7 linked regions of the Callithrix jacchus genome follow. The protein of the gene in region 2 binds, or shares a complex with, the protein of the main gene of each other region. Links are inferred from orthologs where the notes say so. Each region holds a gene or a part of one and is shown on either strand. Other genes may lie near its edges.

The links.
Region 1: NUP205 (region 2) and NUP98 share a complex: the UniProt entries of both Homo sapiens proteins name them as parts of the nuclear pore complex. The link is inferred for Callithrix jacchus from reciprocal best matches to the Homo sapiens genes NUP205 and NUP98.
Region 3: NUP205 (region 2) and NUP93 share a complex: the UniProt entries of both Homo sapiens proteins name them as parts of the nuclear pore complex. The link is inferred for Callithrix jacchus from reciprocal best matches to the Homo sapiens genes NUP205 and NUP93.
Region 4: NUP205 (region 2) and CETN3 share a complex: the UniProt entries of both Homo sapiens proteins name them as parts of the nuclear pore complex. The link is inferred for Callithrix jacchus from reciprocal best matches to the Homo sapiens genes NUP205 and CETN3.
Region 5: NUP205 (region 2) and NUP214 share a complex: the UniProt entries of both Homo sapiens proteins name them as parts of the nuclear pore complex. The link is inferred for Callithrix jacchus from reciprocal best matches to the Homo sapiens genes NUP205 and NUP214.
Region 6: the proteins of NUP205 (region 2) and NUP85 are in contact, whole or in part, in a cryo-EM structure (PDB 7TDZ), measured with the Xenopus laevis proteins. The link is inferred for Callithrix jacchus from reciprocal best matches to the Homo sapiens genes NUP205 and NUP85. Residues at the interface, in XP_041443600.1 of Xenopus laevis: Glu1477, Cys1480, Arg1481, Cys1484, Asp1485, Ser1517, Gly1518, Tyr1519, Leu1520, Lys1521, Val1522, Val1524, Asp1525, Ser1574, Gly1575, Gln1582, Gln1638, Gly1641, Gln1642, Gln1645, Val1648, Leu1690, Asp1691, Ile1692, Gly1693, Leu1694, Asn1695, Asp1696, Gly1697, Ser1698; in XP_041431608.1 of Xenopus laevis: Ala86, Glu87, Glu88, Ala89, Ser90, Gly91, Lys92, Ser93, Arg94, Lys95, Pro156, Pro239, Met240, Gly245, Thr246, Gln247, Thr248, Leu249, Thr250, Glu251, Phe252, Glu253, Leu254, Lys255, Trp256, Gln257, His258, Trp259, Pro315.
Region 7: NUP205 (region 2) and NUP160 share a complex: the UniProt entries of both Homo sapiens proteins name them as parts of the nuclear pore complex. The link is inferred for Callithrix jacchus from reciprocal best matches to the Homo sapiens genes NUP205 and NUP160.

What each region holds. Positions count from the first base shown.
Region 1 is NC_133511.1:69,220,630-69,224,795, reverse strand, and holds the start of NUP98 (nuclear pore complex protein Nup98-Nup96), read left to right. Parts: upstream 1-1,366; 5' UTR 1,367-1,540; intron 1,541-1,875; exon of another isoform or gene 1,876-1,981; intron 1,982-4,166. Other genes in the region: acyltransferase PGAP2, read right to left, coding at 807-1,063. UniProt on the Homo sapiens protein: Plays a role in the nuclear pore complex (NPC) assembly and/or maintenance. NUP98 and NUP96 are involved in the bidirectional transport across the NPC. May anchor NUP153 and TPR to the NPC.
Region 2 is NC_133512.1:111,667,489-111,670,988, forward strand, and holds part of NUP205 (nuclear pore complex protein Nup205), read right to left. Parts: intron 3,444-3,500; coding exon 3,369-3,443; intron 3,094-3,368; coding exon 2,936-3,093; intron 2,592-2,935; coding exon 2,511-2,591; intron 1,791-2,510; coding exon 1,599-1,790; intron 778-1,598; coding exon 510-777; intron 411-509; coding exon 312-410; intron 1-311. UniProt on the Homo sapiens protein: Plays a role in the nuclear pore complex (NPC) assembly and/or maintenance. May anchor NUP62 and other nucleoporins, but not NUP153 and TPR, to the NPC.
Region 3 is NC_133521.1:14,609,296-14,613,406, reverse strand, and holds the start of NUP93 (nuclear pore complex protein Nup93), read right to left. Parts: upstream 2,801-4,111; 5' UTR 2,718-2,800; intron 1-2,717. UniProt on the Homo sapiens protein: Plays a role in the nuclear pore complex (NPC) assembly and/or maintenance. May anchor nucleoporins, but not NUP153 and TPR, to the NPC. During renal development, regulates podocyte migration and proliferation through SMAD4 signaling.
Region 4 is NC_133503.1:120,374,678-120,378,971, forward strand, and holds the start of CETN3 (centrin-3), read left to right. Parts: upstream 1-1,494; 5' UTR 1,495-1,590; coding exon 1,591-1,607; intron 1,608-3,439; coding exon 3,440-3,575; intron 3,576-4,294. UniProt on the Homo sapiens protein: Plays a fundamental role in microtubule-organizing center structure and function. As a component of the TREX-2 complex, involved in the export of mRNAs to the cytoplasm through the nuclear pores.
Region 5 is NC_133502.1:179,776,350-179,780,566, reverse strand, and holds the start of NUP214 (nuclear pore complex protein Nup214), read right to left. Parts: upstream 2,801-4,217; 5' UTR 2,682-2,800; coding exon 2,637-2,681; intron 1,108-2,636; exon of another isoform or gene 1,006-1,107; intron 518-1,005; coding exon 322-517; intron 1-321. UniProt on the Homo sapiens protein: Part of the nuclear pore complex. Has a critical role in nucleocytoplasmic transport.
Region 6 is NC_133506.1:131,122,075-131,126,152, forward strand, and holds the start of NUP85 (nuclear pore complex protein Nup85), read left to right. Parts: upstream 1-1,278; 5' UTR 1,279-1,354; coding exon 1,355-1,387; intron 1,388-4,078. UniProt on the Homo sapiens protein: Essential component of the nuclear pore complex (NPC) that seems to be required for NPC assembly and maintenance. As part of the NPC Nup107-160 subcomplex plays a role in RNA export and in tethering NUP96/Nup98 and NUP153 to the nucleus.
Region 7 is NC_133511.1:112,898,790-112,902,289, forward strand, and holds part of NUP160 (nuclear pore complex protein Nup160), read right to left. Parts: intron 1,069-3,500; coding exon 858-1,068; intron 545-857; coding exon 322-544; intron 1-321. UniProt on the Homo sapiens protein: Functions as a component of the nuclear pore complex (NPC). Involved in poly(A)+ RNA transport.

The sequences.
Region 1 (4,166 bases), on a different chromosome or scaffold from region 2:
AGATGTACCGAGCAGACCCATTCTTTAGGAACACTCGCTGGGAAAGCTCGGCAGATGTACCGAGAAGACTCATTCTTTAGGAATACCTAAGAGTTCGGCTGGGTTCGGTAGCTCATGCCTGAAATCCCAGCACTGTGGGAGGCCGAGAGGTGGGGGGAGTGGGAAGAGGATCACCCGAAATCAGGAGTTTGAGACCAGCCTGACCAATATGGTGAAACCCCCTATCTACCAAAAATACAAAAATTAGCTGGGTCCCATTTCAAAAAAAGAATAGTTCACCGGACAACGTGGCTCATGCCTATAATCCCAGCACATTGGGAGACCGAGGCAGGTGGATCACTTGAGGTCAGGACTTCGAGACCAGCCTGACCAACATGGTGAAATCCAGTCTCTACTAAAAATACAAAAATTAACTGGGCCTGGCGGGTGCCTGTAATCCCAACTATTCGTGAGGCTGAGGCTGGAGAATTGCTGGAACCTGGGAGACACAGGTTGCAGTGAGCCGAGATGGCACCACTGCACTCCAGCCTGGGAGACAAAGCGAGACTTCATCGCGAAAGGAAAAAAAAAAAAAAAAAAGAAGTAGGAGGTTCTCCCGTGCAGCTGGGAAAGACGTTCCAACAATCCTCATTTGTACTAGGCCCTTTGGTGGGCCATTCCCTTAGGGCATCTCTACTGCTCCTAATGTCTGTCCTAGAAATTCGGAGAGGGAAAGAATGTGCTGGGGCAAGCATAGGTCAGAAAAGAATAGGGTAAGGATCTAGGCCCCTGAAGCAGCCTCAGGCAAACTCCTTGGACAGACAGACCTCCCGGAAGGGTCCTCAAACTCCGCACGTGGTCTGTCCAGGAAGTGCGGGCAGAGAGACGAGAAAGCCTTCCCAGCAGCGCCCGCGGACCGGGGCAAGTAAAGGGTCGAATAGTTACCATGCCATTCTGGGGCCGTCCCTCTCATTGGCCCGAGCTCCCGCAGCCTGAGTCTCAGCGCTCCAAGGCAGGGGGCGGAGTCTCTATTTTGCGTCACCACTCTTCCCCACATCCCGCCGGTGCTTCCCAATCTAGCCATTCACAAGCCCACTTAGAGAGGCCCTGTGTGACGTCACAACTCACTCCCATCAACCGCAGCGGCGAGGGGGCGGGACCCCACGGCCCTCTTACCGCTCCTCCCCTGTACCGCCCCTAACTCCTTGTGTCCCTCCCCTTCCCTCTCGCCCCTTCCACCCCGAAGACCGCCCTCATGTTCGGTTTCAAAAGACGCGTTGCCCAATGAATAACAGGGCCGACCCAGAGTGGCGGCCACGTTCACCAATTCGTGGACGGCGAGGGCGGAGCGCCTGCAGCGAGCCCCTGACGCCGGGCGGCGTGTGACGCACTCGGGCCCTCTGCGCGCTGCGCCCGAAGCGGTGGTCGGTAGCTGTGGTGGTAGCGGCGGTGACGGTGACGGTGACGGTTTCGTGGGGGCCGCGCGCTGCTCCGTTAGCGGCGGGTGGCGGACGGGACCGGGCCCGGATTCCTGACATTTCCCCTCTCCTAAAGAACCGCGGTAAGTCGGGAGCCGGAGATGCCGCGGCCGAGAGCGGCAGGCTCCTCCTCCCTGGAGGACGGACGCGCGGGGCGTCCCAGGGCCTCTCAGCGCCGAAGTCTCTCGCCGCGGCGCACACCTTCAGGCCTGAGAGAGGGGCGGGGCCCAGGACCCTGAGTCTCGGTGGTCCGGTTCTGGAGGCCCTGGGAGGGAATGGACATCGGTGGGATCTAGGCCTGGGGGTCTCCACTTGAGCCCACGCGAGTGGGCGTCTGTCTGGTTGTAGTCATTCATTCGTTCGGCGGTGTTAGGACCCCACGGTGGGCTGGACTTTACGGAATCGTCCTTTACGCCTTGAGACTCCGAATATGGGCTGCCCCGCACTTCCTTGACCGTCATGTGGGGATGGGCTTTATTTGCTTTGGCTTCTCCTTAAGGGAAATGGGCACCTCGAGGATTAGGGTGAGTCTGAAGTTTGTTAGATTTTTAAACTAATATCTGAGAATGGAAGTCGGTTCGGTGGAGCAAAAGGTTTTCTGTTTTTCCACGTGTTCCGTGTAAAGCCAGATGAGGAGAAAAATGGAGTTTCTGGATTACTGCAGCCATAAAGAACTTAGAAATTGTTTAAGTCAATCTTCCTACCTTACATCGCATTTCTGTCGATGGGGAAACTGAGGTCCGTAGTAACAGGCAGGATTAGCCAATGCCAGATCTCTGACAGTCTAAAAATTTTTTTACTTAGATGTTTCAGCCTCCCATTATTAAGAATTACCTTTAGGAAGTCGGTGCGGATGCATATTAGGTAGCTGGACGTAGATGGAATCTTCATAGCGTTTTCCATTTAGTTGCTACCAGCTCTGTTTACGGAAGGTGGAAGCTTCGTTAACCTAGACCTCAACAACTAAACTTAGAAGATGGTTAAAGAATGTCAGTGATGTTATTTATTGGAAACAAATCGATAAAACTACAAGCCATTGTTGGCCTTTCTAAATGTGAATTTTTTGATTTGTGCCAGCTGCTGAGGACTCGCAGTCAGTGATTTTTAACAGTACTGGAATAGAAAGCAGAAAATACTGACAGGACTTAGAAAGCTAAGCAGGAGTCCGTTTATAGTACCTCATGGCTCCATTCAGGTACAGAATTCATAGTGGAGTATTATAGTAGAATGAGGTGAGAAAACAAAACTCCATTTTGGAGGAAGAAGCTATCAGAAAGAGAGAGGAAGGGAGGGAGGGAGGGAGGGAGGAAGGGAGAAAGGGAAAGAGCAGTGATTATTCCCTGTGACAGTCTTATAAATTCAGGAAGAAGCTCTAGTTAGTTAACTGGGTTACAGAATGTTTACCTGGTGGAGGAAGTTAGAGTATTTAAAAACCAAAACTAGAGATTGAACAGGATAAAGGTACTGGGAAGGCTGGGTGCAGTGGCTCATGCCTGTAAACCCAGCACGTTGGGTGGCTGAGGTGGTCTGATCACGAGGCCAGGAGTTCCAGACCTGCCTGACTAACATGGTGAAACCCCATCTCTACTAAAAATACAAAAATTAGCCCAGTGTGGTGGCGCATGCCTGTAATCCTAGCTACTCGGGAGGCTGAGGCAGGAGAATCACTTGAACCTAGGAGGTGGAGGTTGCAGGGACCCAAGATCATGCCACTGCACTCCAGCCCGGGCGACAGACCAGACTCCGTCTCAAAAAAGAAAACAAAAAAGGTACTGGGAAATACTTGGGTAAAATTACTGGTTTTGACTTCTCAGATTTGATGAAATTGAATTAGTTGACACTTTGGTCTGTTCACATCAGTAAGGTTGTCACTTTGCTCTTATTTAGATGACAAAGCATAAACTCAAAACCAGTAGTGCAGGGAGAACAGTAAAGCATGAACAGGGTATGTTTTCTGTGACATTTTCTCAGTTCAAGCGTCTTCTGGGAAGCTTTTCTTGGCATTCTCTCCTCTGCAAGCTTCCATAACACCTATTTGATACTTCTATTTATAGCACCTATCATTTCTATTTTAGCTGTGTTTTTATTAGTCTGGTAAAATATTTTTGTCTTTGTAGTCCAATTGCCTGCCACATAGTAGGCCCTCAATAAGTGTGTTTAGACTTATTGAATGAATAGACAAATATGGAGGAGTTATACCTAACAGTAGTCAATAAAGAAATCTGTTTATATGTTATGTGTTAGTCTGCTGTTTCTAGGTTATGTGATACTTTGGTACCTGACTTTATTTAATGAGATAGGGTCTCACTCTGTCACCCAGGCTGGAGTGCAGTGGTACAGTCTTTCGGTTCACAGCAGCCTTGACCTCCTGGGCTCAAGCAGTCCTCCCACCTCAGCCTCCAAAGTAGCTGGGACCACAGGTGTGCACTGCCATACACAGCTAATTTTTTTATTTTTTATTTTTTATTTTTTGGGGGGTAGAGACGGGGTTTTGCTATGTTGCCCAGGCTAGTCTTGAACTCCTGGGCTCAAGCCATCCACCCACCTCAGCCTCCCAAAGTGTTGGGATTACAGGCAGGAGCCACTGTGATCAGCCAGTACCTGACTTTATGTCTGCTACATCTTAGATAAATAAGAGCAAGTAGAATTTTTAGGGAACCAAATTTACAGCTTTGAAAAAATTAGCCAGTTTTTTTGTAATATGATTTA
Region 2 (3,500 bases):
TTGGACCATTCTTTGCAGAGCATAGTGTTCCGTGGAACTTGAGGCAAGTGAGGGAGTTACAGAAGTATATAAAGCTACACTATTATTTGAGGGTTTCTTAAAAAAAACAGCACTCATGTACTACTACATAATTCTGAAAAACTAAACAGTCTTCCTCAACTTTTGAGTACATGCTTTAAAAATGACACCCACACTCATTTATTACCATTGTGATTAGTCAAAAGATGGAGAAGTGATTAGTCAAAAGATAGAGATTGGGGGAAGTAACCATCTCCCAATCCAGAGAAGATTAGGAACTGTTCTCATTCTACCTGCTTCTAAGGTGTCTGGTTCATCTGGTCTCTGGGCAATCTGTAAGTAATAAAGCAGAGAGCCATACAAGTGAGTCCTCACTCGTTGGAATCCGCCACCTAGGGAGATTAGGAAGATGTCAAATGAAAATCTGTTCTCAATTAAACTTAAAACAAATACAAAAGATGTAATTTATAGAAAATTTAGATGTAAAAAACCTGTCTTCAAAATGAAGTCTAACAGTTTCTTCAATATGATGTGAAGTGAAGAATCTCCAATAGAAGCAAAACCCACTAATGGGTTTTCTGCTGGAACTGGTGACGTGAAAGAACTATCAAGCATAAAAGCGTAATGGGCGTCCCCTTGTCCCGAGACTAATGTCTGCTTCTGTTCGGTGCGGACGGCCTGGCTTAGGTGAGCGGTCAGTGTAAACACTGCTCCGGCGACCACAGGCATTAACTCTTGAGCTGCTTCATCATCTAGTATCTTAAAGGACAAGGGCAAATTAGAGTGAGAATCTTACTTTCAGCTATAATAATTAACAAGTTTCATAGCTATTTTTTTGGGGGGACACAAGGTCTTGCTCTATCACCCACAATCTCAGCTCACTTCAGCCTTGAACTCCTGGGCTCAGGCGGTCTTCACACCTCAGCCTCCTGTAGCTGTGACTACAGGTGCATACCATTATGCTCGATTAATTTTTTACTTTTTGTAGAGATGGAGTCTCACTATGTTGCCTAGGTTGGTCTCAAACTCCTGGGCTCAAGTGATCCTCCCAACTTGGCTTCTCTCGAACTTCTGATTACAGACATGAACCACTGCACACAGCCCATTAACAAGTTTCATATATATTTAGCTTATCAACTACGATAACAATAAATAAGAATGGAATATAGGAATTACTCAAAAAAAAAAAAAAGAAAAGGAATCTAATATATACAAAGAAATTTAAATATGATACTAGGTTATGGGTGTTCTTAACCAGAAGGAATTCCTATCAGAATTTCCTAGGGAGGTTTTCTTTCCAAAATTCACAAAAATGATCTCGCCATTACATTCAGTAGGTCTGGGGTGGATTCTGTCCATGTCAATTTTTACAAAGCTCCCCAGATAATCTGGACACACACTGTGGTAGAGAGTCACTACTGTATAGAATTAATCCCTTTCTCAAGGAAAGTCCTAACATTGGTATTGCACAATTCTCTTACTCCCAATCAAAAATGGAAAACAATTAGGGTAGTAAAATATATTTATTTAAATAATACATATTTATTCAGCAGTATAAAGTAATTTAGGAAGTATGTCACCTTATCATGCACATCTTGTAAAATATCACGAATAATCAGTTGTCGATCCTCTGCCTGAATGAGGTCCTGGGGACAAGCTGTCAGTATAATTTCTACCAGTTGCCGCCACGACTCCAGAGCATGACGTTTTGCATGGAGACACTGCAGCAATTTATTTCTTCCTACCACATATTGAAGTACAGTGCTGATTTCCTAAAGCCACAAGAATTGAATCACAAGGTTAAACAGGCAAATAAGATCAGTTATGTCAGTTACTCAGAAAATATTTATTTGGAAGCCTACTACATGCATGCCAGAAAGCAGATCTTTTCGTATTATTTCCATAGCCAGGGCTATAAAAAGGCTGTATGTGTATGTGTGTGTGTATGTGTATGTGCATGAATGTAGGGGACAGAGGTGGCATAGATAAATGTGTATTTTTTGACACCATCTTCTTTCTCCTTGTACCTATCTACTTGTACTTACTCTACAGCACTAGAATTACCCAAACTGCAAGTTCAGTGGCATGTTCCCTGACATCTCTCTTATTTCTTTGCCTCTTGCTTTGGCCTGGCCAGCTATATGTCTCCATGCATGTGGTTCTTCCCACCTGACCTCTTACCTATAACTTTCCACTTGTGGTGACAAATGACCTTCCTCTCTCACTGATGGACACCAAGTGAGGTCTAATATGAAATATGGTGAGCTTGCAAATCCTTAACTAGCCTAGCAGAAAAGGTGTTATTTATTTCAGCAAACCAGATAGTTCAGCTTATAAAAGTTGTACAATCTAAAGTGAAAGACTCCCTAAATGTTTCATTTTTAGGTAGCTTAATAATTAGCAAACTACAGGTCAATATACTATTTTAGTTTTTTCACCAGCAACATAAGTAGTTAAAGGGTTGAAACGAACACATACTCAATACAACTTACCTCCATCAGTAGAGGTCTCTGTCCTATGGCTGCCATACCCTGAAGGGCATTTACTTCAGCTACGAGAACCCTATGAAGAAGCTGGATAATTAGGAAAAGAAAGAAAAATAAGACATTTCAGACAATGGTAGAACAATAACACCCAGCAATTACCATAAACTACCCTAAAGGGAAAAGTGTCAGCTACCTTTATGTATAATCTAATAATAGCACTGTCCAATTTCCAGACAGTATCCTTTTCAAAAAGTTAGTGTGATATATTAAGTTTTATTTCAGGGATATTTTACAAAAACCACAGTCTTTCCTATAAACTAGTAAACCAACATCTACATCAGAAAGAAAACCTGTATGGTTCTATTTGTTTCTGATGATTTAAGGTCTGAGCCACTTGATACTGCAGACATGTACTTTAAAGCAACCCTCACCTTGACATTGCAGACTGTCTGTCCCCGTAAATTCTTGTGTTCACAGTTAGCAATAACTTGTTCAATCTGGGCCCGATCAAAAAAATCCAACTGCAAAGGCTCAGGGATCTCCTGACTGAAGTCAATTGAGTCCAGAATACTTAGAATTTTTCGACGTACTAGAAATAATAAAAAGTAATTTGTTTTTACCTGGGATATTGAAGAGAAGAGCAAACCATCATATTCAGTTGATTTTCAAAGAGAGTGCTATTTTCAGAAAGAACATTAGTCAAGAAACTGAAAACTGTATTAGAATCTAAATTTGATTTTATTTGATACATCCACTTACAAAAATACCTTCCTTTGCAGGCACAGGCATAAAAATCCCTTAAAGTTTTAAGCAATTTAATATATGTCTATAAAATACATTTATTACAAATTCAAAGGGCATTACCTTTTGTAGCAGTGTCAAAGTGAAGGAACCCAGAAACAGACCTGTTTTCATCTTCTGTTCCTCCTTCACCATCTGCTGGAACATCAATAATATTGAATCAGAAAAAGAACATATTCTTAAAATTACATTTAT
Region 3 (4,111 bases), on a different chromosome or scaffold from region 2:
AGCATTAGGTCTGGCAGATAATAGGTACCAGATACATGCCTGTTGAATTAAAACTGCCTGTTCCCTGAACACACCTTGTAAAAGATCTTCCCTCTAACTCCACATTATTTAAATAAACTTTTTCATGAGGAGTGGGCCCTCTTACCTTCGGATCTTTGCTCTGACCTGTCCCTCTCCTTGGTACATCCATCTTTCCGTCAACTTTATTTTCTACTTCAGTTCATCAGGAAGCAGGTTAAGACCCTCAGGCTCACCACATCTCCAAATGCTCACACCTCAGGGTCTTCGAACCTGCTCTACCCCCTACTTGCAATACTCTCAGATAGTCCCATGACTTGCTTACCCCCTACCTGCAATATTCTCAGATAGTCCCATTATTCAAATATACCTGTCCTCCCTTAGGAAACAGTCCTGACATCACATTTTTTTAATCTGTGCTTTTATTGCTAGTGGTGCCCTCCATATGCACATCAGTTAAATGAAGGCAGGCCTGTCTCATTCACCACTGTATCTCCATGCCCACAACAGTGCCAGTAACATTCATCTAGTTCATATTTTTTTGAGCACCTACTGTGTGCCAGACCTAGGTGCTAGGAATACATGAGGGAACAAAACAGATAAAAATCCCCTCACTCATATTCTACAGGGAGAAGACAACAATATGCAAGAAAAATACGTAAAATGTAAGTGCTAAGAACAACTGAAGAGACGAAGGGAGGCGGGAAGTGAGGAAAGCCTCACTAGGTGACCCCTAGTAAAGACCTGAAGAAGTGAGTGCAAACTACATGGATATTAAATTGCAAGCACAAGGGGAGAGAGCAAATGAGACTGGGAAAGTAACAGTGGGTCAGATTATGTAAAGCCTTATAGCTCACTGTAAGGGGTTTGTCTATCATTAATAAGATGGGGACTCACTGGAGGGATTTTTTCTTTTTTTTTAATAAAGGAATGGTACAGTCTGACAGCCTGTGTTTTAAGAAGATCCCTCTAGCTGGTATGCTGAAAATAGGAGCCAGGACAGAAGCAGGGAGACCAAGTGGCAAACTATTTCAATAATCCAAAAGACAGGTGGTGACTTAGCCCAGGACGGCAAGTATTATTTGCAGTGCGAAAAAGAGAGGGCTGGGTGTAGTGGCCCACACCTGTAATTCCAACACTTTTGTGGGAGGCTGAAATGGGCAGATGACTTGAGGCCAGGAGTTCGAGACCACCCTGGCCAACATGGTGAAACCCCGTCTCTACTAAAAATACAAAAAATTAGGTGGGCATGGTAGCATAGGCCTGTTAATCCCAGGTACTCAGGAGGCTGAGGCAGAATTGCCTGAACCCAGGAGGCGGAGGTTGCAGTGAGCCGAGATAGCGCCATTGCATTCCAGCCTGGGTAACAAGAGCAAAACTCCGTCTCAAAAAAAAAAAAAAAAAAAATTAGCCAGGCAAGGTGGCACACGCCTGTAGTCCAGCTACTCTGGAGGCCGAAACAGAAAAATCGCTTGAGCCTGGGAGGCAGAGGTTACAGTGAGCTGAGACAGCACTACTACATTCCAGCCTGAGTGACAGAGGGAGACTGTCTCAAATAAAAAAAAAAATAAAAAAAAAGAAAAGGAAAAAGAAAGAGAGCAGTCAATGACGTCTCAAAGGTTATTAGCCAGCGTCTTTCCTATTATTGAGATGAAAAAAAAAAAGGCAACAGGATCAGTTTGGGGAGGGTAATAAAGGGGAGCTTGCTAGCCTTCTCTTGACATGTCTGAGTTGCCTATCATCCGATACTAAGTGGGTGGCTGGATAAAGGTCGGGGTGAGGCCTACAATGGAGACATAAATATGGAATCTGTTAGCCTCTGATATGTAGGTATTTAGTGCTATGAACCTGGATGAGATCACCATGAATGAAAATAAAAATATTGCAAACACCAATGCACAAAGGAGGAGAACTGAAAGAAAAAAAGAAGAGAAGCTAGGATGACCAAGGATATCCTCCCACATCTCCCAGAAAGAATACAAAAAGACCCTCGCTTTTGCTCAAAGACAACTCAGTCAAAGCAAAAAATAAATAAATAAAACCTCCTTCCCACACTTAACAGAAGGGCAAACCCAGACCACAGGTTCTGTCAACGGGTCTTTCTCGCTTTCAGCAAAGACTCATGGGCCCGGCCCCATAATTTTTTCAAAAGAAACCCAGTGAACTTGGGCATCGCCTTTGCAGAGAACGGGATGGAGCAGGCACAGAGAAGGGTGGGCCACTCCTGGGTTCCAATCACTAGCATCCTCCTGGATGTACAAAAGACAAGCCAATGGTTGGGAAAAGTTCCACTTGCCCCAAATATCCCTTCCCTCGCAGGGCAACGTCTCCCTAGAGAGTGTGTCCATGACGTGCAGACGAGCAGGCAGGGCGGGCTCGCGGGGCATGAGGTGGATGTGAGAGCAGGGGCGTGGAGCGAGGGCGTCACAGTGGAGAAGGGGGAGTGACAGGCCTAGGTTCTGCATACAGAAAGCGGGCGGATGAAAGGCACCCCCAGGGCAGCAGCCCGACTCTAAGCCTCGGGGGCGGCTAGACAAGGCGTTGTGTCGCCGGCGTTAGGCGTGCCTGGCTGCCCTGAGGAGAACGGGAAGTGTAAGCGGCGGGGCTGCGAGTGTGAGGACGGCGCTCCACCCAGTCACGGGGTCCTGGGTTCAAGGACAAGCCCAGGGTCGGAAGGACGCGACCAGAGACACCCTTACCTTGTACAACAGCTGTCTCCGCCGCTTGGGTGCCGGCTGAAGTACGCGGCCGCCGCTTCTCGCGCCGCTCTCCCCCGCTTCCTGATTGGCCAACGCTGGCCGTTCCCAGAAGCCCCCGCGCGGCGCGCCATCAAACGAACTTTATCGAGACCCGTCGGGGGAGGACAAGAACAGGGGCGGGGAGGAGGCTGGGCCTTGGGCCGAACCGTCACGCCTTGGGCACAGGCAGCCACAGCCTTCACCTTTCTCACTTGATTAGAGTCGGCTCTGTCAGGAGAAAGTGATTCTAGAATTCCTTAAGCTAAAGCAATTTCTTAATCCTTGAGCGCCAAGGGCTGGGCCGTAGTCTACGAGCTGGGAACACAGTGGCGACCACGACAGACAAGATCGCTGCCCTCATGGAGTTCCCAGGCTGGCAGAGGAAACAAAATATAATAAATAAGTAACTGCAGTTTGCAAGAAGAGCTATGAAGAAAAAACAGGGTGATGGGAGAGAGAATGCTTGGATGGTCAAAGGAGACTTTTCTGTGGTGGTGGCGTCTTGAGCTGACTAAAGAAGGATGAGAAAGAATGGAGCTTGCAACGTTCTGGCTTCAAAGAATTCCAAGCAGAGGGAACAAGAGTGAAGTCTCCAGGAGAAGCCAGATTAGTGTTTGGAGACTAGAAAGAAGGGGTGTGTGGCTGGAAGATGGTGAGCGGGGGCAAGTGGGGTCAGACATCCATAGACTGAATGGCTTATACACAACAGAAATTTATTTCTCACCGTTCTAGAAGCTGGGAAGCCTTAGATTAAAGCACCAGCAGATTCAGTGTCTGCTGAGGGCCTGCCTCCTAATTCATAGATAACACTTGATACGGTTTGGCTCTGTGTCCCCATCCAAATCTCACCTCAAATTATAGTCCCAATAATCCCTACATGTCAAGGGTGAGACCAGGTGGAGGTAATTGGATCATGGGGGCAGTCTCCACCATGCTGTTCTCGTGATAGTCTCACAAGATCTGATGGTTTTATAAGCATCTGGCATTTCTCCTGCTTACACTCATTCTCTCTCCTGCCGCCCAGTGAGCAGGTGCCTTCCACCATGATTGTAAGTTTCCTGAAGCCTCCCAGCCATGCAGAACTATGAGTCAATTAAACTTCATTTCTTTATAAATTACTCGGTCTCAGGTATTTCTTCATAGCAGCGTGAGAACACACTAATAAAGTACTCTTCTCTCTGTAACCACACACAGAAGAAGGATGAGGGAGCTCTCCAATATTTCTTGTATAAGTGCCCTAATTGAGGGCTTCACTCTCATGACCCAATCACCTACCAAAGTCCTCACCTCCTAATACCATACCATTGAGGGACAGAGTTTCAACATATAAATTTGAAAGGGAAGGACACAAACAT
Region 4 (4,294 bases), on a different chromosome or scaffold from region 2:
AATTTGAACAATTTCCTTTCAAACATTGTTCTCAAACTTTATCTTTACTAATTTCCTCTTTCTAATTTCAATTATACAATTTTCTTCTTCATTTCTAACATCTTCAGATAAATGCTTGGTTTATTTTTATCCTTTCTTCTTTAAAATAATGTTCTCCTATAGCTTGGTCTGTATCTTAGAATGTTAACATATAGTTTTTTTCAATATCATTAGGTTCTAGTAACTGTAATTTCTCTTTCCTTTTAGAACTCAAAGGCGATTTATAAAAGTACCTTAAAATTTACAGTATGAACAAAATAAAAGTTCCACTTTGATTTTTAGGGGTGCTAAACCTTAACTAATTTTTAGCTTGTTCTATCATACTATCCTTACTTATGCAAATTTAGCTCATCTTTCTAGGTCTAATATTTATGCCACCTCCTTTAAGAAGCCTATCTTGTATTCTCTCTCTTCTCTAAACCATTATATACATCCCTTAAACATGTAATGTTTATACTATCCTCTGCCTTCAACTCCCATCCTCAGGCTATTTTATTCACGTTTATGAGATCTGCTGTTTAGCTAAGTATTTTGCGGGTTTTCAAAAGATTCCACTCAATTTACAGAGCACCTATGCACCATTTTACTAGGTACAAAGAAAAGCCTTAAACAGATAATAATCATGGCCTTCAAGAAATTGAACCTAGTAAGAGAGATGAATAAGAAGACATTCAAGTGAGCTTCAAGAGACTTGGTTTGGTAGTAAAGACAGTCTCATGTGTATAAACAGCTTACAGCACTGTAAAATAAGAGAGAGAAACGAATAAATCCGTTTTAAACAGTTCAAAGGAGGAAACCGAAAGGGAAGGGTGGTTTAGATACTGCCTCACCATAAATAGCCTAATAATCTAACCCTGTGATAATCCAAGTATAGTCACAGTACCTGCCTCAGAATCACCTGGAAGGCTTGTGAGGGGTAAAAACGAAGATTCATACCTACTGAAATTAGAATGGGGAAAGGGGCATTTAAATCTGCATTTTAAACACTTTCCCCAGGTACTGAGGTCATCCAAAGTTTTAGAACAGAGCAGAGCCAAGTTTCGCAGATCTTGTTCCTCAGCTACTCCCTCCTAGCCGGAGGGTGGCCTGCAGCGTGTCCCTTCCCTTCCCTCCGTCGGAGCTGTGTGTCCAGTTTCCGAACGTCGGCCCCACAGACCTCAGGGCTTCAAGCAAGACACGACTAGCACCCACCCACCGCGGGCACATCCAGCAGGGATCAGAGGCCGGACCCGCAAAGGATTCGGGGAAAAAGGCATCGAGCCAATCCGAAGGGCGAGAGCAGCCCGAGAAATGGGTGGGTGAAGGACAGAAACATTTTTCTCTGATTGACGTAAAACGTACCCAATGAAAACAGAGAATTGTGAAGCTTCCGCCCGAATAGGCAGAACCGTGGAGATTTTTCAACCAATCCAGCTCAAAAGTGTCTATGTTGTGGGAGGTCCCTTAGGCCGCTAAGGTCGTTCGTGTCTGTTGAACGGCTGTGAAAGTCTTGCTGTCTTGGGTAGGGGGTTAAAATCGTTCTTGAGAGGAACGTCTCTGTCCGAAGAGATAATGAGTTTAGCTCTGAGGTCGGTAATAAGGAGGCGGCAGTGTTCTCCACACCCCGGAGCGGGACGCAGGGAGGGTGTGGAAGGGAGGCCGTTTGGGGCCGAGGCGAAGTAGGGGATGCAGTTTCGGGACGCGGGAAAGGAGCCTAGGGTAGCTTACCCGGACCAGTCACCCTCTGGGCCCTGGTGCCTTGCAGGGATCGAGTCCAGTGCGTTTCTACTGAGGAAGTTATTTCTGTCAGCGCGTAGGGCTTTGGACTGCCAAAAAGATGGGCTTAGTTGCGAGCGCGGAGGGAATGAAATATCGCGAGGCTTTTACTCGTTTCTGTGAGATACCAGGCCGCGGAACATCCCTTCATTCAATTCGTGTAGCTGGCCAGGGCCCCGCCTCGGCTGCTTCGCTGCTAATGCAAATCACCCACCTATAAATTTTGGCAATAACACAAAACTCCTTCTTCCTCATTTCTCAGGGCGTTGCCTTATGGTGTAGTTGGAGACCCATTTTAGTGAATTTAATTGGCAAACTGTCACTTGGATTTCCTCAGCTTCTTGCATTTCTTTGCCTTTCAGTTCTAACCTCTAACCCTCTGTATGTTGCCCTCTCACCCTTTGTAGAAGTTGTACCGTAAAACTATATACTTAGGACAATAAAAATGTTCCATGTTCTGCTAAGGGATAATCGTACCCTTGAATGGGGTCAGGGGGTGGGTCGGTTCTGGACTTGGCCTCTAGAAGTCTCAGGAAGGAAAAGACTGACCCCAGGAATACCCAAATTTGTGTCAAGTCAGGTTTCATGAAAGGAAGCTTCATCAGCTTTGTCATACTGCACCTACTGGTCACTTCCTGGCCTTTTTTTTTTTTTTTTTCCTAGCTTTCAGAGACCAAAATGACTTTCAAATGCAGCTAGATACGTGTTTTAAATAGAGTCAACTGGTTTTTACATGATAATGTGTTATCGAATTATAGGTTTCAAACTTGTTCTTATACCAGTGTTGCATCCCCCTGTGAAAATTTGGAGCATGTTTAGATGGGCAACTCTTAAAGGAAAATATTTCTGGCTTTAAAAAAATTACTTTTTTTCTTTAAGGCTTTCCAGAGTTTGTTTATGAGAAGTTTAACCTCCAGTTTACATGTTAAGTGAGACAAGACTCTTCACATTTTTATATAGAATGAAGCACAAATATTGTATTTTTTTGGCATCTAATATTTGTCATGTTTAGACTCATTAATATTTTGAATGATTTGTTAATATTGATGGAGGAAATGACAAATTGCCAAACTGTTAGAAAGGTGTAATCTAAAAACATTTTTAACCAACAATGCTAAAATACTAAGTTAATTCGGTTGTATGTTTTTGTAGTACTTTTACGAACTTAATTATAAGAGCTATCAAAAGTAAACCGACATATAGTGACTGTCAACTATGAATTTTGGTTTCGTTTGGAGTTATTTTTCTTTAACAGTCTTAGAATAATGTGAGTATTTTGTTTTTTGGTTAGAGTTGGTTGGAGTTTCAGATATAAAAGCAATGTTACTTATTCACAGTTCTTGTTTTTTCCACAGTAACATTAGTGGGAATAAATAAAAAGCTGGGAAAAGGAAAAGTATGGTCCTCATTTATTTTACTAATCTTTAACAATCTTTAGTTTTGGGAAGTTCAGATTTATAGCAATTTAGATTATGGAGTAAACAGGGCATTGACTCATAAAGGGAAAGTTTCCCTATCTTTCTCCAAAGTACTTTCTTTTTTAAAATTTAGAAAATAATTATTGGCTAATTTCTGTTAGCAAAGAGAATTAAAGTAGACTTTAATTCTCCTTTAATTTAAGGATTTTTTTCTTTCCATTTCATAGAAGCGAGCTTGTAGTAGATAAAACAAAGAGGAAAAAAAGACGAGAATTGTCTGAGGAACAGAAACAAGAAATTAAAGATGCTTTTGAACTATTTGATACAGACAAAGATGAAGCAATAGATTACCATGAATTAAAGGTAATGGTATACTTTAAAATATTTGTTTTTATGTTAAAATGATTTGCATTTTGACAGTTGCTTTACATTGCATTTCTAAATAATTATTTTGACTAAACTGGTTTGGAACTATGAAGGCATTTTAAGCATTCCTAGTTAGTTGCTATAATAAAACTGAACAGAACCCCTAACAGTTTTTAGAAAGTCTTTTTCACATGATAAAATGAATAGTATTTTAAATGTAAAAATATATTCCTAGGGAAGGTGCTTATTTTTCACTGACATAATTAAAGGATTTCAAACTGGAATTTAAACTATTCTTACCATATTCTTTTCACTGTTTTGTTTTTGTTTTTGTTTTGTTTCTTGGTGACTCACTGTATTCAGATTGAGGGAGTGTTGTCTCTTAATCTTAAAAATTGGATTTGTTAGTAACATAGTCTCAATCCACTTTCTCTGGTGCAAATTTAAGTGCTGTTTGATGTTGACACATGCTGATGGGTAAAATGTCAACTTTAATACCTAAAATGTCAAGATGTGGGGAGAGATTTGTAAATTATATTTGTCGAGGTATAGGGAGAGATTTGGGTTTAGGGTAGAATGGGACTTTTAGCACAGTGGGAAAGATAGCATTTTCAGATTTTTAATAGCCTTAATGGATAGGTGAATATAAGTATGTGTTTTAATTTTTCTAATTTTGCAAGGGATTTTTAAGCATAAGAATTCCAAGTAGGGGGTAG
Region 5 (4,217 bases), on a different chromosome or scaffold from region 2:
ATCGTCCTGTTGTGCCAACTGAAAACCCATTCCAACAAAACCCTTCACCCAGAGAGCCAGAGCCCAAGTTCAACTGGGTAAAAATAAAAGCATGGCATAATGGTAAATTCTTCCCCCTTGAGCTGAGAGGAACAACTCATGGAAAGAGAAATACAAAGGACCAAAGGGAAAACTGAGAAAGGTTTCCGTTAATCTTCTTGGGCGTCAACTTGAAAACTGACAGTATTCATTTTAACATTAGAGTGACTTCTTGGGAAGGAAACCCATTATCATGACACCATACTCCTCTCTCTACTTTGCAACATAAACCAGGGAACTTACCTATTTTATTGGGATCATCTCCCGGTTTATTTTGAATAAGAAGATTTTTAGTAGGAAAAATCTGCAAGCCACTGGCTCCACCAGCAAAGACCAGACCATATTTGTTAGACACAGCAAGCAAACTCGAGCGTTCCTTAGGCAATTCCTCAGGGGAGTCAAAGATTCTCACCTTCTTGAGCGCTCTAAACTGAAAATCCTATTGTAAAGAATCAAAACAAAATCAATTCAATGAATAAATTAAAACATATTATATTCAGCAGACTCAATTTCAGAACAACAAAAGTGTGTGTTACTAAGACCAAGGACTGCCTCAATTGTCTTTCTTTTTTTGAAACAGAGTCTCACTCTGTTGCCCAGGCTGCAGGACAGTGGCAATCTCGGCTCACTGAAACCTCCGCCTTCCAGGTTGAAGCAATTCTCCCGCCTCAGCCTTACAAGTACCTGGGACTACAGGCATGAGCCACCACGCCTGGCTATCTTTTGTATTTTTAGTAGAGACAGGGTTTCACTGTATTAGCCAGGATGGTCTTGATCTCCTGACCTCCTGATCTGCCCCCCTCGGCCTTCCAAAGTGGCGTGAGCCACCGCCTGTGGTCGCCTTTTTTTTTTCTTTTTTGAGATGGGGTCTTGTCCTGCTGCCCGGGCTGGAGTATAGTGGGCACTCACGCCTGGCCCTGATTTTTTTCTGATATGGAACACTTCACGAATTTGTGTGTCATCCTCATACAGGAGCCGTGCTTGTCTTCTCTGCATTATCCCAATTTTATATGTACTGCCAAAGGGAGTATGAGATTACCATCTTCTAGGTCTGTGGTTCTATTAATAAACCCTTTTTTAATTCTACCCCAGCATATCTGAGAAATATGACACAATCCCATTAGGTAGCTCACCACAGGTGGTGATTCTCAAAAAAGAATTACTATTCTAGGCAGGGCATGGTGGCTAACTCCTCTAATGCCAGCACTTTGGGAGGCTGAGGCAGGCGAATCATTTGAGGTCAGCAGTTCGAGACCAGCCTGGCCAACATGGTGAAACCCAGTCTCTACCAAAAATATAAAAAATTAGCTGGGCATGGTGGCAGGTACCTGTAATCCCAGCTACTCGGGAGGCTGAGGCAGGGGAATCGCTTGAGCTTGGGAGGTGGAGGTTGCAGTGAGCTGAGATCCATGCCACTGCACTCCAGCCTGGGCGACAGAGGGAGACTCTGTCAAAAAAAAAAAAAAAATCACTTTTCTAAACATGGTATGGGTTACTATCTCCTAAATGCATTTTAGTGATTTACTGTTGACACAGGCAACTAAAATATTCCTGCAACTTGGCCGGGCGCGGTGGCTCACGCCTATAATCCCAGCACTTTGGGAGGCCGAGGCGGGTGGATCACGAGGTCAAGAAATCGAGACCATCCTGGTCAACAAGGTGAAACTCCGTCTCTACTAAAAACACAAAAATTAGCTGAGCATGGTGGTGTGAGCCTGTAGTCCCAGCTACTCGGGAGGCTGAGGCAGGAGAATTGCTTGAACCCAAAAGGCGGAGGTTGCGGTGAGCCGAGATCGTGCCATTGCACTCCAGTCTGGGTAACAACAGCGAAAATCCGTCTCAAAAAAAAAAAAAAAAATATATATATATATATATATATATTCCTGCAACTTACTTCCTTTCACTGCTTAAAACAGATGTAGCTCATTTGCTGTCCCCTCACTCTGTCAGAAAGTATATGAGAACTCTTAACCACACCATCCTGGAGTTATCCCTGGGGACTCCCACGTCGCCATTATTGGGACCACTTGGCCCTCGATTTAGGTTCCTGACTTTGGGCTGATACCCTATGTCAAAAATAGTCTTCCTCGTCCAATCAACTAAAGGTTCTGCAGGACGGATGACCTTCCGTGGCTCTACGTTAGGCAAGCCCGTACCACCTTACAGAAGTAATGGGAGAGCAAAAGTCTTAAATGATGCTGGCTTTCAGCCCCCTGTCAAATGTGACTTTAGGTCAATCACTTTCCGAGCCTCGACTCTACGTTAACGACTACTTCGTAGGGCTGCTGGGATGACTACCACCGTGCCTGGCACACAGCAAACGCTCAATAAACAGTAGTTATTGCCACTATGGTGACCGCCACATGAAGTAGCTAGAGTAACTCAAGAGGCGTGTACGAGACCAGGAAGGGACTGGGAAACTGCATCGGGTGGCGCTATCGCGGCAAACGCGCTGCCAAGAGCTGTGAACGCGGTAAATTGTTCAAGGAGAAGGCGGGACAGCGGGCAATCGCGCTTCGCCTTTCAGAGGGGCTCCAAGGCCCTGGCTAGTCTCTGACCTTCATCTCCCGCTCGGGAATCATGGCATCCATCTCGTCTCCCATCGTGTCGCCCTCGGTGTGTCGAAGCAGCCGACGCTGCCTCCCACGGCCTAGTCCGCAGAACCCAGTTCGCTCCACAGCAAACTTACTTCCCTCAGCGCCAGTGGCGCGCAGCAGACCCTACATTTCCGGCGCGCTTTGGTGACGTTAAGCTTGGTCAGCGGAGGTCGCGGAATCGGTAGAAGACGCGCGCTGTCACGGCAGCCGGTCCTCATTGGGGGAGGTCGTAGGGCCGTCGCGCCTGCGCCCTGGATCGTCCTGGTGCTCCCGCCCTCGCGGCCAGCGCGGGTCCGTGTAGTGTCAGTGTTGCCTCTTGAGCGGCCCACGCCTAAGAGACATATGCCCCTTGTTCCTCTGAAACCTTACAGTTCCCCTTAGATGTAGGTTGGCTATTAGTAGCTTCCGATTCAGAGAAGTTAGGAACTTGACAGATGTTTTCAGGGGCTGCTTTTGAGGGAGGCTTTGGGCTATGCAAGGGGAGGGAGGGAGATTAAGAAAAACTGGGTCGAGGGGTCGCCAGAGGCGACTTTTAAAATGTGGAAGGTGAAGGCTGGGAGGGGAGGTTAACGGGCACCAAAGAGCAACTTTGTCTGCTCCTATCAAGGTAGTCATCTCCAGAGCAAGAGCCATACCCACTCCCAGACGCACGAGTTTGTGCCAAGTCCTTTGCAAAAACCTTCAGATCTGGGATCTCACGTAATCTTAGAGACGTCCTAGGGGTTGTTATTTATTTAATTGATGAGGTAGGCCAGGCACCGCCGGCTCATGCCCATAATCCCAGCACTTGGCAGACAGGATTGCTTGAGCCTAGGAGTTTGAGACCAGCCGGGCAACATGGCAAGACCCCATCTCTCAAAAAAAAAAAAATTAGGCCAGGCACGGTGGCTCAAGCCTGTAATCCCAGCACTTTGGGAGGCCGAGGCGGGTGGATCATGAGGTCAAGAGATCGAGACCATCCTGGTCAACATGGTGAAACCCCGTCTCTACTAAAAATACAAAAAAAAATTAGCTGGGCATGGGATCGCGCCATTGCACTCCAGCCTGGGTAACAAGAGCGAAACTCCGTCTCAAAAAAAAAAAAAAAAAAAAAATTAGCCAGAGGAATGGCATGGACATATAGTCTTAGCTACTCAGGAAGCTGAAGTGGGAGGATGCTTGAGCCCAGGAGGTCGAGGCTGCAGTGAGCTGTGATTGCGCCACTGCACTCCAGCCTGGGTGACAGAGCCAGACTCTGTCTCAAAAAATAAAATAGGCTGGGCGCGGTGGCTCACCCCTGTGATCGCAGCACTTTAGGAGGCCAAGGCAGGTGTATCACCTGAGGTCAGGAGCTTGAGACCAACCTGGCTAACATGGTGAAACCCTGTCTCTGCTAAAAATACAAAAACTAGCTGGGTGTGGTGGCGGACGCCTGTGGACCACACAGGAGGCTGAGGAAGGAGAATCGCTTGAACTCGAGAGGTGGAGCTTGTAGTGAGCCGAGATTGCGCCACTGCACTCCAGCCCGGGCGACAGTGAGACTCTGTCTCAGAAAAAAGTATA
Region 6 (4,078 bases), on a different chromosome or scaffold from region 2:
AAGAAAAATAATAAAGGAAGTATAGCACTAAGATTTGTTTTTTTTTTTTTTGAGACGGAGTTTTGCTCTTGTTACCCAGGCTGGAGTGCAGTGGCGGATCTCGGCTCATCGCAACCTCCGCCTCCTGGGTTCAGGCAATTCTCCTGCCTCAGCCTCCCGAGTAGCTGGGACTACAGGCGTGCACCACCATGCCCAGCTAATTTTTGTGTTTTTAGTAGAGACGGGGTTTCACCATGTTGACCAGGATGGTCTCGATCTCTTGACCTTGTGATCCACTCGTCTCGGCCTCACAAAGTGCTGGGATTATAGGCGTGAGCCACCGCGCCCAGCCAAGATTTGTTTTTTTTGAGATGGAGTCTCACTGTGTTGCCCAGGCTGGAGTGCAGTGTCGAGATCTTGGCTCACTGCAACCTCCACCTCCCGGGTTCAAGCGATTCTCCTGTTTCAGCCTCCCGAGGAGCTGGGATTACAGGCATGCGCCACCATGCCCGGCTAATTTGTATTTTTAGTAGAGACAGGGTTTCTTCATGTTGGTCAGGCTGGTCTCGAAGTCCCGGACCTCACGTAATCCGCCCGCCTAGCCCTCCCAAAGTGCTAGGAGTACAGGCGTGAGCCACTGCGCCCGGCCTGTATTCTAAGTAGAGACGAGGTTTCCTCATGTTGGCCAGGCTGGTCTCGAACCCCTGACCTCCAGTGATCCGCCCACCTAGGCCTGCCAAAGTGCGGAGATTAGAGGAGTGAGCCACCGCGCCCAGCCTTCAGTGGTGTCGATTTTGTCCGGGTGCTTCTTGTATGTGTTCTAGTGTGGGAGTGGCGGCGATTGCTTTCCAGCACAAATCCGTTTGACTGTCGGGGTTTGGACAAGCAGCTGCGACGACACTAAAGTGGAGACCAGGATGGGGCGAGGACTCCCAGCGTTGGTAGAGGTTGTACGCTCACTGGGGCCCTAGCGCTGCCCGAGTTCGCACCAGCGCCGCAAAGCTCACGCACGCGCAGTCGCACCGTCTCTGGCCCCAGGGTCCTCCCGCCCCTCCCGCCGTCTCCGGGGGCCTTTTCTCCGCCCGGCGCGGGGATGTCCGCGGTGCCGCCTGATCCTGTGAGCGCGGTACCGTGAATGCAGTCTGCCCTCGGCGCTCTTCTCCCTGACGTGCTGTCGAGGCCAGAAAGGAAGGACCCGCTCAGAGGACCGCAGACGGGTGGCTGAGAGGAGAGGCCCCCGCAGCATTGAGGGTTTGGGCTTGCAGGCGCTGCAGGAGGCGCCCAGCGGGGTCCTCTCTTAGCCAGCTCTGAGCTGGAGGCCTGAGCGGGAAGCATTGGCGGTGGGGCGACTTCCAGGAGGCTGGAGTGTAGCGCTATGGAGGAGCTTGATGGCGAGCCAACAGTCACTGTAAGGGCGCCCCGAAAAGGCTTGTTCGTCCTTGCGGCTCCAGAACTGCGTCTGCTTCGTTAGTTCAGGCTTGTCTGCTTCCCTCCTGGCCGCTAGGCGCTCGTCCCCTACCCTTGACTCAGTTGCCACTGTCCGAAGGTCGCAGTGTTAACGAAGTGCCCGCCCTCGAGTTGCAGTGGTTGCAGGGTTTCTGCCACCAGTCACAAGTCCTGGCCCCGAAGGTCCCACTCCATCCCTTTCCCTCCTTTGTCTTCCTGGCCTTTCTATTTCCCTCGCTTTTCCTCTTGGGCAGTAGAGTGGGTTCAGCCCGAGCAGAAGTATTGATGTTTTTCTTCTAGCTATGTTAAGCTTTGCAAGCGGTACATTGAGCTTCTGCCTGTGTGGTCTAAGGTTTATTGAACGTATTTATTCTCTGGGGAGACTGTTAAAACGTGCGCTTTGAATGAAGATACACCCAGACTTTGTGTGAGCAACATGGCTGTTTATTCACCTGGGTGTGGGCGGGCTGAATCCGAAAAGAGTCAGCGAAGGGCGGTGAGATAGGAGTTGGTTTTATAGGTTTGGGGTGGGCAGTGGAAAGTTAGAGTGACTTGTAGCCACGGATGGGGAGGCGGTGTCCCTCACCCTAGGGTTAAGGTAGGGGGACATAAGAGGAGCTATTCAGGAGGTATGGGTTCGGGGAGGAGGGCGCCAGTGAGGTGTGGCTATAGCCCAGGAATAGTTAAGGAGGCAGACAATTTTGCTAGGATATCTTGGCCTAACAGAGGAATTGGACAAGTGGGACTGATTAGGAAAGAATATGGAAAGTGGTGCTGGCCTAATTGACACCAGACTTGGGGAGTTTTGAGAGGCCTGGAGACCTTGCCGTCAATTCCCACAACAGTTATGGAGGCCAAGGAGACAGGTCCTTGAAAAGAAGGCAGTGTGGAGTGTGTGGCTCCGGGTTGATTAAGAAGGGGATGGACTTGACCTCCACCAGTTACTCGAAGCGCAGTGTTTGTGATGTTCCAGGGAGCCTCTGAGATGTTCAGGCAGCATCAGTCTTCAGCCACCAAGCCAAGGAGATCAGGGAAAGAGTCAGCCTGAGGGCTCCCGGGTTGGGCTCCTGGAGACTTAAAGACAGCAGTTTGAGTCTGGCAGTCCTACCTCCATTGGGGTCCCACACAGACAGGACATGGCTTAGGAAGAATCCCGGTTGGGAGGCTGAGGCGGGCGGATCACGAGGTCAAGAGATCCAGACCAGCCTAGCCAACATGTTGAAACTCCGTCTCTACTTAAATACAAAAATTAGCTGGGCATGGTGGCGCGCGCCTGTAGTCCCAGCTGCTTGGGTGGCTGAGGCAAGAGAATTGCTTGAACCCAGGAGGCGGAGGCTGCAGTGAGTCGAGATCCCGCCACTGCACTCCAGACTGGCGACAGAGTAAGACTCTGTCTCAAAAAAAAAAAAAAAAAAATCCGGGCTGCAGGCATTCCTTGGCTCAGTGGCCAGGTTCTCGGCATTTGAAGCAAGGCTTTGGGGAAGGAGGTCCTGAAGAGAAGTCTGGACGCTGTGGGTTTGGTGGTCTGAAACTTCTGTGAGCCGAAGAAGAAGTAGCTGTGGTCTATCTTACAGAGGAGGCAAGCATTTGTAATTCCGAAATACGCTGCCCCTGGGTAGCTTTTTCCCTATTATTTAACACCTTAAAGGTGAGGTCAATTAATTCCTGTTGTGGGGTTTGAGGGCCAGATTCTAATTTCTGTGGCTTTTTGTAATGTTAGGGACTCAATGGGTGATAAAATGCATATCAAGCATTCTTCAGGGGTGAGAGTAGAAGTAAGGATGACATTTAAGTCACTCCAGGCGAGATTACAGGCCTGGGTTAAGTATTGGAGGATCTGATGTAAAAGAGCCTAACCATTGGCTGATTTGGGAAAGGTCGGATAAAGAGAAAGGAACCTGCACCCTAACTATGCCTTTGGCTCCAGCCACCTCTCGAAGAGGGAATTGTCAGACAGGGGTGGAGGAGGTAGCCACAGGACTAAACTGCAAGCTGGGGCACTTATGAGGTGGCGAGGTGACAGGAGGGGCATAAGGAAATGGGTTGTGGGCAGAGGAAGAGGAGGAAAGCTCTAGGGGTTGGGCTTAGGTCCTGGATTAGGGCCTGGTTCCGACAGGCAGGGAGGAGAAAGGTCGGAAGGGTCGATGGACAAGGAGAATTCTAGGTTGCTGGCAGAGGCAGGAGGGGCAGATGGAAGGGAGAGAAGGAAAATTTGGGATGGGTTGCATTGAGAACAGAGATTAGGGAGAGATTGGTGTGTAAAAAAAAATGCCTGGACGTAGAGAATTTGCCCATTTTACTACGAAAGTTATCTAGATCCTGTAGGATAGAGAAATTGAAGGTACCATTTTCTAAATGGACAATGGACATTTAGAGCCATTGTCCAATTTATATCATGGTCAAGCAGTATTGCAGAAGAAAATAAGATGCTTAGGTTTTAGGTCAGGTGATAGCCGGAGAAGTTTGAGGTTTTTTAGAACGTAGGCTAAGGGAGAGGAGGGAGGAATGGAGGGTAGGAGTTTGCCCATAGTTTAAGAAGAGCGGGGCTCGGCGCGGTGGCTCATGCCTGTAATCCCAGCGCTTTGGGAGGCCGAGGCAGGTGGATCACGAGGTCAAGAGATTGAGACCATCCTGGTCAACATGCTGAAACCCC
Region 7 (3,500 bases), on a different chromosome or scaffold from region 2:
ACTTCTTTGTTTCAATTAATTTAATTATGATGTTTAATGCCTTTATCTCAGGACAGACAATTAGGCAACTCATCTTTACTACAGGATTTAGAATAGGCTGCCTTATACTTGTCTATTTGTTTTTCCGTGCTCCAAATGCTTTATAGTTCCTTATCCACTGTATAAAAGTAAAGCATTAGGGACTCATCAGGCAAACAAACCAGTTCTGGGGCAGAAGAGATGCAATCTCTGCACTGGATGAGGAGGTTGAACTTTTAAGGTCTGTTTCAATGTTAACATTCCTTGTTTAAAGTTAAATCCATGCTCAGTTCCCATTCTTACCAGGTATGTCATAAGGAGGTAGCTTAAGAACAAAGATTCCCCCAGAAGCACATGGTAAAGCAAACAGGGCCTCCCCATCACTGCTAAGCCAGGCTGTTGAGGTGGTAGAATTAGGAGATATTCCAGGTACTGCTGGAATTAATTGATAGTTGCAAGGATCTGTGAAATCAACTTTTCCAATGTCAGTGAATATTGACTGCATCTGACTTTCAACTACCAACTCCTGTTGAGTAATTAAAAAGAAAAATCTATTAAATCAAAATAACCAGAATTTTGCTGTTTCTCTCTATTGCTAAAGAAGTTTTTAAAGTAAAAAACTGTCAAGCTTAAGAAGAAAGCTATTCTTTTTAATGAAAACTAATTCTCAACTTAAAATGTATCCCTGATGATTTTAAGTGATAACTATCAAAGTATGCTTGGTGAGGGATAACAAGAATCCAAATTTCCTTCGGTTCCAAAGGATATTGCTCTAGCACTCGATCTGTGACACCCAGAGTAATTTGGGAAATAAAAGGTATTGTACTTAGCCAACTTACACTCCTATACATCCGGGAAGGGTGTGGTAAAAGTAACCTGTGCACTGTTTGATTGGTTAACATCAGGATTATTACATGATTCTGAGTCTCAGAGACATAAACCCCTCCAGGTAAGACATTGCAATTTTGGAATTTTAGGCGAACAGCATTATTCAACAGATTTACGTCCAGTGACTCCTCCACCAGCTCCAATGTATCTCCAGAGGTCTTCCTGTTAAAAAAGAGACATTTGTTTGAAAACTTTATGCTTTTCTTTCTCATTGACTGTTGCACTGAAATATATCAGACTAGGCTGGTCTCGAAGGTCTGATCTCATGATCCGCCTGCCTGGCCTCCCAAAGTGCTGGGATTAAAGGCGTGAGCCACCAAACCCAGCCTAGCTAAAAGAGTTTTAATATTTATCAGATCTTGCTAAGGAATACACAGCCCAGTGGAAAACACAGTTTAAAGCAGAACCAGAAAAAAAGAACATTTTGTTAAAAATTTTTAAAAACCAGGGCCGGGCGTGGTGGCTCAAGCCCGTAATCCCAGCACTTTGGGAGGCCGCGGCGGGTGGATCACGAGGTCAAGAGATCGAGACCATCCAGGTCAACATGGTGAAACCCCGTCTCTACTAAAAATACAAAAAATTAGCTGGGCGTGGTGGCGCGTGCCTGTAATCCCGGCTACTCAGGAGGCTGAGGCAGGAGGATTGCCTGAACCCAGGAGGTGGAGGTTGCAATGAGCTGAGATTGCGCCATTTAAAAAATTTTTTTAAAAACCTATCAATCCTTAAAAAAAGAGCTTCAAAGTGACAGAAAATAACTCATGGTATATCACATGCCTGAAGAAGAAATGACAATACATACTGTGCTTAAACAAAACCAGAAGTGTGCTGGGATGCAGGTAACCTTCTTCAGGTGCAACTCTGCCGGGTGTAGGTCTAGAACCATAGCACGCAGCATTGCTGGGAGTGCCTTAATTTCCCATTGCCATATCTACCGTATCACCTGCATCCTTTCCAAAAAAGAAGGCTTCTTCCAGCAACTAAAGGCTAACTTCTGGCTTTCTCTGCATATTTCTCCTGTATCTGCCTCTCCTGCTTCCAGGGCCTTCCATCACCATTCAAATAAGCTGTTTTCTGGCCTCCCCTCACTCACAATCCAGTTATCCCATCCTCTCCATTCCCCTTCATGGCCAACCTTTCTCTTATTTCCTCACATCACTCCTACTCTTAAGCCTACTAAATCTGGCTTTTGCCTCTGCCACACCCTCTTCTTGTCAAAGTCAATATACCAATTCCAGTGGACTCTTCAGTCTTTCTCTTACTTGATCTTTTTTTTTTTGAGATGGAGTTTTGCTCTTGTTGCCCAGGCTGGAGTGCAATGGAGTGATCTCAGCTCACTGCAACCTCTGCTTCCAGGGTTCAAGCGATTCTCTTGCCTCAGCCTCCTGAGTAGCTGGGACTACAGGCACTTGCCACTATGCTTGGCTAATTTTTGTATTTTTAGTAGAGACGGGGTTTCACCATGTTGGCCTGGCTGGTGTCAAACTCCTGACCTCAGATGATCCAACCGCCTAAGCCTCCCAAAGCGCTGGGATTACAGGCGTGAGCCACAGTGCCTGGCCCTCTTACTTGATCTCTCAGCACCATTCCACATACTTAATCTTGCCTTCCTTTTTATTTTTTATTCTTTTTTTTTTTCCTCCACACTACAGAAGCCTTTCTTTTTAAAACAAACTCTTCTCATGAATCCTATGGTACTACCCTCTCCCAGTTTTCCTCCCACATTCCTGTCCATTTCTTCCCCTTCTCCTTGACCTGACCCCTATATAGACTAGATTTCCTCAAACCTGGATCCTGGATCATCTTCTCTCACTATACACTTTCTTCCAAGGCACATCTTATCTACTCCCAAGGATGTAAGTACCTTTTCATGTCTGATGATTTCCCAGAGCTACTTTGCTTCTGATAACTCATGGCATTAGCATAATTTTCTGGATCCTCAATTTCATCTCTGAATAATTCCTTCGTTTTCTTGCCTTATGGTATAATTTGGATCCTGGATCTCCCGTGAGGGCAGTGACCCCAGAGTTTTCTCTACCATGCCCTTTGCAGTGGGGCCTCAAGGGAAAAATACAGATGTCCTTGCTCCCCACTGGCATTCTAGGTCACTGTTCCTCCTCTCCTACCCGAACCACTCAGCTCTGAAGCTCATGGAATCAGATACCACCTGCTACCCATGCTCATTGCAGTTGATTTTGGCTGCTGGCCCACTGTCACTCTCTCCCATACTACTCTTGCCATAATTCTTAATGATTTCAGTATCAGGGCCAGGTACAGCGGCTCATACCTATAATTCCAGCATCCTGGGAGGCCAAGATAGAAGGATTTCTTCAGCCCAGGAGTACGAGATGAGCCTGGGCGACATAGAAAGACCCTATCTCTATAAAAAAAAAAAAATTAGCCAGGCATGGTGATGCCCGCCTGTAATCCTAGCCACTTGGGAAGCTGAGATGGGAGCTAGGAGTTCAAGGTTGCAGTAAGCTATGACTGTGCTACTGTACTCCAGCTTGGGTGACAGACTGAAACTTTGACTTTAAAAAAGAGCAAATAAATGAACAAACAATATCCAATTATCCTAATACTCCACCTTCTCAATT